2 linked regions of the Saccharomyces cerevisiae S288C genome follow. The protein of the gene in region 1 binds, or shares a complex with, the protein of each later gene. Each region holds a gene or a part of one and is shown in the gene's direction. Other genes may lie near its edges.

Region 1 (4,974 bases):
TTCAAGTATGGCTGATCTCAATATAGCAGAGGAAAATGATGAGTCTGATGACGAAGATGAGCTAGGGCAGTACTACAAGAACGATTCCCTTGTATGGTTCTTTGTCACAAGCGCAGAGCTCGATTGCTTCTCTAAAGATAATTCTCATTTTATTATTGATCCCAATCGGACGAAGCTAATAACAACTAATATCACTAACAGAAGACCATTACCCTTGAGTAGATCCAATCTTCAGAGATATTACGGTTTTGCTGAAACTTTTTACTATGATTTGCATATCTTCCCCTATGTAAGACAATTGGTTAACATATTAGAAACTTCCTTCAATTGTTCTCAAAGGGGAATCACCCTAAATGCCTCTGTGTTACTTCATTCCACTACAAACAATGTGGGCAAGGCTACAATGGTGAGATTTGCTTCAAAATATCTTGGTATACATCTACTGGAGATAGATTGCCTTTCGCTCACTTCAAATTCAAGACAACTGGATTCAACATCTAAGATTATTGGTTACATTAGGGCTAAATGTGAAAATGTCCTACCGTACGCATCACCTGCTGTGATTTTTTTGGCTCATTTGGATTCAATTTTGCTTGACGTAAACGCTAATCAAGATCCAGAGGCAATCAAATTACAAAAATCTATAAACTTCGAAATGTCTAAACTTCTGGACGATTTTACGTTTAAATTCCCAGGAACTACATTTGTTGGCTCCGTAAATAACATAGATAACGTGCCTTCCAGCTTTAGATCACATATGAGATTTGAGATTCTCGTACCCGTTCCGTCTGAAGCACAGAGACTGCGTATCTTTCAGTGGTACTTATCTTCACATGAACTAAACAGAGATGTTCAACAAAAGGTTCCAGTATCTTACATGGATAATATTTCATTTTCATCACTCTCTTCATATTCTGCTGGTTTAACTCCTTTAGACATCAAATCAATTGTGGAAACGGCACGAATGACGGCTACTGCGCGTTTTTACCAAGAATCAAAGAAGTGTGGATGGCTTCCGCAATCAATTTTGATCACTCAGGAGGATTTATCAAAAGCTACTTCGAAAGCTAGGAACGAATTCTCGGTTTCGATTGGTGCCCCACAAATCCCTAACGTAACTTGGGATGATATAGGTGGTATTGATTTTGTTAAAGGTGAAATATTGGACACAATAGACATGCCGCTAAAACATCCTGAATTATTTACCTCAGGTATGAAAAAGAGAAGCGGTATTCTTTTTTATGGTCCACCGGGTACAGGTAAAACTCTAATGGCTAAGGCCATTGCAACAAATTTTTCTTTAAATTTTTTTAGTGTTAAAGGCCCTGAACTGTTGAATATGTACATTGGTGAGAGTGAAGCTAATGTGCGCAGAGTGTTTCAAAAGGCGAGAGAGGCTAAACCTTGTGTCATATTTTTCGATGAAATCGATTCAGTAGCACCCAAACGTGGTAATCAAGGTGATTCGGGTGGTGTTATGGATCGTATCGTTTCACAGTTACTAGCAGAGTTAGATGGTATGAGTACCGACGCTGACGGTGTATTTGTTATCGGAGCAACAAACAGACCAGACTTATTGGACGAAGCACTACTAAGACCAGGACGATTCGATAAATTGTTATATTTAGGCATTCCGGATACGGATACCAAACAATTGAATATTTTAGAGGCTCTGACTCGCAAATTCGTGCTCGACAACGACGTAAAGCTTATTGAGTTGGCAAAGCTATGTCCATTTAATTACACCGGGGCAGATTTTTATGCTCTCTGCTCAGATGCAATGCTTAACGCCATGTCAAGAATTGCACGCATGGTAGAAAAAAAAGTTTCTCAGCATAACGAATTGACGGGAGAGAATATTTCTACACGTCGCTGGTTTGATAAGATTGCGACAAAAGAGGATACTAAGGTTGTCGTAAAAATGGAAGACTTCTTGAAAGCACAAGAGCAGCTCACCCCAAGTGTGTCGCGGGCTGAACTGAATCATTATGAAGCGGTGAGAGCTAATTTTGAAGGTGCTTAAGTAATATCAACTCAGAGCGTATAGGTAAATTTGTAAATATATGTCCCATATTTTGCCTTGAAATTTATCTTTTTATTTACTTACCCTCCCCGGCTCATAGTATCTATCGAAAGGGAAAAACAGAAAAGATACTAGTAGTTGATTATACATAATAAAAATTTGAAGTAATAACCATAAAGGTTCATAAAACAATTGCGCCATACAAAACATTCGTGGCTACAACTCGATATCCGTGCAGATGGTATATGAAGCAACACCTTTTGATCCGATCACGGTCAAGCCAAGCGATAAAAGACGCGTTGCATATTTTTACGATGCAGACGTTGGGAACTATGCATATGGAGCAGGTCACCCGATGAAGCCGCATAGAATAAGAATGGCACATTCCCTTATTATGAATTATGGCTTGTACAAGAAGATGGAAATTTACAGAGCTAAGCCGGCAACGAAACAAGAAATGTGTCAGTTCCATACTGATGAATACATTGATTTTTTATCGAGGGTTACTCCAGATAATTTAGAAATGTTTAAAAGAGAAAGTGTCAAGTTTAATGTCGGAGATGATTGTCCTGTCTTTGATGGGCTCTATGAGTACTGTAGCATATCTGGTGGTGGCTCTATGGAAGGAGCTGCTCGTCTGAATAGAGGCAAATGTGATGTTGCTGTCAACTATGCGGGTGGTTTGCATCATGCAAAAAAATCGGAAGCTTCTGGGTTTTGTTATTTAAATGACATAGTACTGGGCATTATTGAGCTACTACGATACCACCCCAGAGTTCTGTATATTGATATTGATGTGCACCATGGTGATGGTGTAGAGGAAGCGTTTTATACAACGGATCGTGTCATGACATGTTCTTTCCACAAATATGGTGAGTTTTTCCCTGGCACAGGTGAACTGAGAGATATAGGGGTGGGTGCAGGAAAAAACTACGCGGTCAATGTGCCATTAAGAGACGGTATTGACGATGCTACGTATAGATCTGTGTTTGAACCTGTGATAAAAAAAATTATGGAATGGTATCAACCTTCTGCTGTCGTGTTACAGTGTGGTGGGGACTCCTTGTCCGGCGATCGTCTTGGTTGCTTTAATCTTTCCATGGAAGGCCATGCTAATTGTGTAAACTATGTGAAATCCTTTGGGATCCCAATGATGGTTGTTGGTGGAGGAGGCTATACTATGAGAAATGTTGCAAGGACATGGTGCTTTGAAACAGGTCTACTAAATAACGTTGTCTTGGATAAAGATTTACCGTACAATGAATATTACGAATATTACGGTCCAGATTATAAGTTAAGTGTTAGACCTTCGAATATGTTCAATGTAAATACTCCCGAATATCTTGACAAGGTAATGACCAATATATTTGCTAATTTGGAAAACACAAAGTATGCCCCTAGTGTTCAGTTGAATCACACACCTAGGGATGCCGAAGATTTGGGTGATGTTGAAGAAGATTCTGCCGAGGCTAAAGATACGAAGGGTGGTTCGCAATATGCGAGGGACCTACATGTTGAGCATGACAATGAATTCTATTGAAAAAAAGAGTTGGAAGTATATACGAATATAAATAATGTGAAACAAAAGAAGAAAAGTGAATAAAAGGCACTTAAGACGCTATCCAATTGTGTATGAGAAGTGCAAACTCAATTTTTTTGCAAAAGACTTTTCTCAAACCTTTAATTGATGCGTTCCGTTCATACATCAACCGCGTCCCATACGTTTCGAAGAAAATTGCCTATATGTGTTATTTACATACTAGAGATATTTTAATATTGAAACAGTTGTATTTCTATTGTAATTACTATCTAAACGTCTCGTCCCACCGCTGTTGATAAAGCGGTGCCAATATAATTTATAATCACGCCTGGGTAAATGACTTTTAATTTCTTAAATCATCGAAGTATGCGAAAACAAGAAGTCTTTATTCATAATAAAAAACAAATTCGGTTACTACGACTTTTATATGTCATTCAATATTTGGTAATAATTTTACAGTATTAACCCTATCCTCATCTGATTCACTCTCTTCTAATTGCATATATTTTCAAATTCGCTTTCAGCGCTGTACAAAACCAGTAAGCAGATCTCGTACGAAGACTCAAATAAGTTGCATTGTTCGTATTCAAGGAAACCGGGGGGCAAAATTTCCAACCATATTTAAGTATGACAATATTTCCAAGTCAAGGATGCATGCTGTTCTTCTCTTCATTAACTAGCTAACCAATTAGCTGAACGGCTTTGTATTTTACTTAACATATTGTCTATTGCATAAAAAACCACTATTCAGCATGACTGACTTGTTTAAACCTCTACCTGAACCACCTACCGAATTGGGACGTCTCAGGGTTCTTTCTAAAACTGCCGGCATAAGGGTTTCACCGCTAATTCTGGGAGGAGCTTCAATCGGCGACGCATGGTCAGGCTTTATGGGCTCTATGAATAAGGAACAGGCCTTTGAACTTCTTGATGCTTTTTATGAAGCTGGAGGTAATTGTATTGATACTGCAAACAGTTACCAAAATGAAGAGTCAGAGATTTGGATAGGTGAATGGATGGCATCAAGAAAACTGCGTGACCAGATTGTAATTGCCACCAAGTTTACCGGAGATTATAAGAAGTATGAAGTAGGTGGTGGTAAAAGTGCCAACTACTGTGGTAATCACAAGCGTAGTTTACATGTGAGTGTGAGGGATTCTCTCCGCAAATTGCAAACTGATTGGATTGATATACTTTACATTCACTGGTGGGATTATATGAGTTCAATCGAAGAAGTTATGGATAGTTTGCATATTTTAGTTCAGCAGGGCAAGGTCCTATATTTAGGAGTATCTGATACACCTGCTTGGGTTGTTTCTGCGGCAAATTACTACGCTACATCTCATGGTAAAACTCCTTTTAGCGTCTATCAAGGTAAATGGAATGTATTGAACAGGGACTTTGAGCGTGA
Region 2 (4,524 bases), on another chromosome or scaffold:
AATTTTTCATAGTTAACCCATTGATGATACTTATTAAAATATGTAATCAAATCGTCACTATTACGGTGCTTTATTAAGATGTCCGTACCACCTGGATGGAACTTCAAATAACTAGAAATGTCATAGACTTTGCCGTTTATAACGCACCATAACTCGTCCTCACCTTTACAATGCTTCTTTACGATTTTTCTGTTTATTCTTAAGGGTGGCATTATTTTATAAAGGGGTATCTTTTGGACAAGCAATTGGTTCTTCAGTTGTGAAGGTGAAAACTTGAAGTTATCTTTTTGAAATACCGGATCATCGAGTAAATCCTGGATAAGCTGTAGCGAAACGAATTTTGTATAATAATTCGCTGGATTGGAGGTTAGAGAGTGCCAGTCCAGAGCACTGTGCCCAGGATCTAGTCTTATTTTGGTTCTTACAAGAGGCTTTCTTGACGACTTCGACATGGGCATATGCAGCGGGGATGATATGGCAGGATGAGCAACGCTTAGTCGCTGAGGAGCAGCGAATCTGACATTTGGTTTCGAGTTTGAAACATCTCTGTTCATGCCGTCACTACTCATATCTCTATGAGTGTAATCTAAGCACCTGCTAATATGTTATATTCTGCTTATTCGTCCTTTTGCTACACATAATTAATGTAACTTTAACTCTAGTTCTATAAAGGATATGATTTGTACTAAATGTAACATTATACGAAAAAACATATTATTCGTTTATATAAACTAATCAAAGAAGTCGTCATCATCTTCGTCGTCATCATTTTTAGCATTCTGCTTGTCAAATGAATTCAGATCTTCGCTGAAATCTTTCCGTTCGAAGATAATCTTACTGTTATTTTGTGAATTTTGTTGCTTGGCGATACCATTCAAGATTGAAACAATTTCAGCTTCAGTGATTTTATGAGTGACGTTGTTTGTAGCAATCAGTTTCTTTAAGTATGTCTCTACTGCTTGGGCCCTGTCTCTACGGACCAAGGCCACTCGAGATAATCTTTCTAAAGCTTGTGGCTCCAAGAAATTTGCAATAGCTGCACCAACGGGAGCGGAATTTTCACCTCCACCATTATTAGCACCGCTATTTCTATCGCCGTTGGTACCCCCACTGTTGTTTTTCAACTGAGCCAATCTGGCTTCCCTAATAGCTTGTAACTCTGGGTCCATATCTGAGCACACACTTCCTCCTGAATTGTAATCCAGAGAGCAAGAAGATTTTTCAACTTTTACTCTTGGTTCTCCTTGTAGAACCACAAGTGGTATAAAAATTCTCGCTTACCCAGCCCAAAAATTCTCATCTGTTTCTCATCTGTTTCTCGTCCGAATAAGTTTCCCGTTCGCAGCTAGGATTTCACCTGCTCACCATAATAGGCAACTTTCTTCCTCATGTAGGAAATTATACTATTGCTCTCTGTTGCAAGGTTATTTTTGAGCCTTAATACCATATTAGTAGATATAAATACATATATATCGTGTTAACCCATAAGTGGTAGTTTTAGTAGCTCGCTGCAAGATCTGCCTCATTCCTTTGTAGAGAACGACGTACCCACTACGCGTTTGAACATTTGCAACAAGCACGAGAGGAAGGAAGAAGAATACCAAGTATAAACGAGAATAATCACCATAGAAAAACCTATAAAAGACACTTCCATTACCATCTGCTAATAATAATACAATGGACACCAGCAAGAAAGATACTACTAGGTCGCCCTCACATTCCAACAGTTCTTCTCCTTCATCTTCTTCTCTCTCTTCATCTTCTTCCAAAGAGAAAAAACGTCCTAAGAGACTATCCTCCCAGAATGTAAATTACGATTTGAAAAGGAGAAAGATCATCACTTCTGAAGGTATAGAAAGATCATTCAAGAACGAGCATAGCAATCTTGCAGTTGAAGACAATATCCCGGAAGAAGAACCCAAGGAACTTCTTGAAAAGGACTCCAAGGGTAATATCATCAAACTTAATGAGCCATCCACCATCTCGGAAGATTCGAAGGTATCTGTCACTGGATTGCCGTTAAATAAAGGTCCTTCTGAGAAAATCAAGCGAGAGTCTCTTTGGAATTATAGAAAAAATTTGGGAGGCCAATCGAACAACTCAGAAATGACGCTGGTCCCCAGTAAAAGATTTACTCAGGTGCCGAAAAATTTTCAGGATTTGAACAGAAATGATTTGAAAACGTTTTTAACTGAGAACATGACTGAAGAGAGCAATATACGGTCAACTATTGGTTGGAATGGCGATATAATAAACAGAACTCGTGACCGTGAACCTGAAAGCGACCGCGATAATAAAAAGCTATCAAATATTAGAACCAAAATAATACTTTCAACGAATGCTACCTATGATTCAAAAAGTAAACTATTTGGCCAAAATTCCATCAAGTCAACATCGAATGCGAGTGAAAAAATTTTCAGGGACAAGAACAATTCAACCATAGATTTTGAGAATGAAGATTTTTGTTCGGCTTGTAATCAGTCAGGTTCTTTTTTATGCTGTGATACATGCCCCAAATCCTTTCACTTTCTTTGCTTAGACCCACCAATTGATCCGAACAACCTGCCTAAAGGTGATTGGCATTGTAATGAATGTAAGTTTAAAATCTTCATAAATAACTCAATGGCAACTTTAAAAAAAATTGAATCCAACTTCATTAAGCAAAATAACAACGTCAAGATTTTTGCTAAATTACTTTTCAATATCGATTCCCACAACCCAAAACAGTTCCAGCTACCAAATTATATAAAAGAAACCTTTCCTGCTGTGAAAACGGGTTCGAGAGGACAATACTCTGATGAGAATGATAAGATTCCATTAACTGATAGACAATTGTTTAACACTTCTTATGGCCAAAGCATAACTAAATTGGACTCTTACAACCCGGATACACATATAGATTCAAATTCAGGTAAGTTTTTAATTTGTTACAAATGCAATCAAACCAGACTAGGTTCATGGTCTCATCCAGAAAATTCAAGATTAATAATGACTTGTGATTATTGTCAGACTCCATGGCATTTGGATTGTGTACCGAGGGCTTCTTTCAAGAACTTAGGTTCAAAATGGAAATGTCCTCTACATTCCCCAACTAAAGTTTACAAAAAGATACACCATTGTCAAGAAGATAATAGCGTAAATTATAAGGTGTGGAAAAAACAACGATTGATAAACAAGAAAAACCAACTTTATTATGAACCTTTACAAAAAATAGGCTACCAAAATAACGGGAACATTCAAATCATACCAACAACTAGTCATACAGATTATGATTTCAATCAAGATTTCAAAATTACACAAATAGATGAAAATTCCATTAAATATGATTTTTTTGATAAAATTTACAAATCAAAAATGGTTCAAAAAAGAAAACTCTTTCAATTTCAAGAAAGTTTAATAGATAAGTTAGTATCAAATGGATCCCAAAATGGCAATAGCGAGGATAATATGGTCAAAGACATAGCCTCTTTAATATATTTCCAAGTTAGCAACAACGACAAGAGTAGTAACAATAAATCGGCTTCCAAAAGCAATAACTTAAGAAAATTATGGGATTTGAAAGAACTGACTAACGTAGTCGTGCCGAACGAACTAGATTCTATACAATTCAATGACTTTTCCAGCGATGAAATAAAGCATCTGTTATATTTAAAGAAGATTATCGAATCCAAACCAAAGGAAGAACTGTTAAAATTTTTAAACATAGAAAATCCCGAAAACCAATCCGAATAGAAACGGCGTACATACATAAAGAATAAATCAGGAACGTGAACACCTTCCTTACATATATACACACATACATAGGCATATGTATCGCATCTTAAAGTGAGAGATCTACCTATTTTCCTTTTTTTTCCATTTACAACATAGCAATTGATGTTTTTTTCCCTTCTAAGTCATCTCGATGTCATCATCTTCATCGTCTTTGTAGTCAACTTCTTTCCTGACCCTCAATTTCTTCATCACAATATTTTCGTGCCCTTTCTTGGTTTCATTTTTGTTAGACGGTGAATAACTGTCATCATCACTGTCTGATTCTCGATCCCCATCACCTTCTTCGTCGTCAGCCTGTGATCTCGCATGATGAACTTTCTTCTTTTTTTTTTGTGATTCATTGTTTTCGTGAGCTAATAACCTCTTTTGAAGCCTTTGTCTTTGAGTTTGTGACGTGTGAAGAATCCGTCCGATTTTAGCTTTTATATTGTTTTGTATTTTTTCAGTCAAGCTCTCTGGTATGTATGTTTTGAAAGATAACTGGGCCTCCTGAACCGTTGCAAAAGGTTTGAACAAATCTGATGGTAAGTTTAATTTACCTGGATATGCTGAATGTTGCCAATTTTTCTTCTCTTTTAAATTCAATAGAATCATTTGCGACAGCTCACCTATGATATACATTTTCTGACCGTAAGGTCTATGCTTCTTTGGCGCTTCTTCTTTTTGTGGTCCTTCTTCTTCATCAATTTCATCCTCAACTAACTTATCTTGATAGTTTTTTACCCTTTCTGATAAATAATAGAGCAAACT

The links.
Region 2: the proteins of RPD3 (region 1) and RCO1 are in contact, whole or in part, in a cryo-EM structure (PDB 8HXX), measured with the Saccharomyces cerevisiae proteins. Residues at the interface, in NP_014069.1 of Saccharomyces cerevisiae: Phe24 (codon at 2,331), Ala36 (codon at 2,367), His49 (codon at 2,406), Ser50 (codon at 2,409), Met53 (codon at 2,418), Asn54 (codon at 2,421), Gly56 (codon at 2,427), Tyr58 (codon at 2,433), Lys59 (codon at 2,436), Ile63 (codon at 2,448), Tyr64 (codon at 2,451), Arg65 (codon at 2,454), Ala66 (codon at 2,457), Lys67 (codon at 2,460), Pro68 (codon at 2,463), Ala69 (codon at 2,466), Thr70 (codon at 2,469), Gln72 (codon at 2,475), Glu73 (codon at 2,478), Gln76 (codon at 2,487), Met96 (codon at 2,547), Arg99 (codon at 2,556), Gly125 (codon at 2,634), Met128 (codon at 2,643), Glu129 (codon at 2,646), Ala132 (codon at 2,655), Arg133 (codon at 2,658), Arg136 (codon at 2,667), Lys138 (codon at 2,673), Glu172 (codon at 2,775); in NP_013791.1 of Saccharomyces cerevisiae: Val110 (codon at 2,005), Arg164 (codon at 2,167), Asp166 (codon at 2,173), Leu167 (codon at 2,176), Lys168 (codon at 2,179), Thr169 (codon at 2,182), Leu171 (codon at 2,188), Thr172 (codon at 2,191), Met175 (codon at 2,200), Thr176 (codon at 2,203), Glu177 (codon at 2,206), Glu178 (codon at 2,209), Ser179 (codon at 2,212), Asn180 (codon at 2,215), Ile181 (codon at 2,218), Arg182 (codon at 2,221), Ser183 (codon at 2,224), Thr184 (codon at 2,227), Ile185 (codon at 2,230), Trp187 (codon at 2,236), Asn188 (codon at 2,239), Asp292 (codon at 2,551), Pro293 (codon at 2,554), Asn294 (codon at 2,557), Leu398 (codon at 2,869), Asp399 (codon at 2,872), Ser400 (codon at 2,875), Tyr401 (codon at 2,878), Arg424 (codon at 2,947), Pro431 (codon at 2,968).

The regions. Positions count from the first base shown.
Region 1 is NC_001146.8:16,590-21,563, reverse strand, and holds RPD3 (histone deacetylase RPD3), read left to right. Parts: upstream 1-2,261; coding exon 2,262-3,563; downstream 3,564-4,974. Other genes in the region: PEX6 (AAA family ATPase peroxin 6), read left to right, coding at 1-2,023; AAD14 (putative aryl-alcohol dehydrogenase), read left to right, coding at 4,316-4,974. UniProt on the Saccharomyces cerevisiae protein: Catalytic component of the RPD3 histone deacetylase (HDAC) complexes RPD3C(L) and RPD3C(S) responsible for the deacetylation of lysine residues on the N-terminal part of the core histones (H2A, H2B, H3 and H4).
Region 2 is NC_001145.3:412,305-416,828, forward strand, and holds RCO1 (Rco1p), read left to right. Parts: upstream 1-1,677; coding exon 1,678-3,732; downstream 3,733-4,524. Other genes in the region: IRC21 (Irc21p), read right to left, coding at 1-569; SDD2 (Sdd2p), read right to left, coding at 732-1,169; YMR075C-A (uncharacterized protein), read right to left, coding at 3,384-3,749; sister chromatid cohesion factor PDS5, read right to left, coding at 3,892-4,524. UniProt on the Saccharomyces cerevisiae protein: Catalytic component of the RPD3C(S) histone deacetylase complex responsible for the deacetylation of lysine residues on the N-terminal part of the core histones (H2A, H2B, H3 and H4).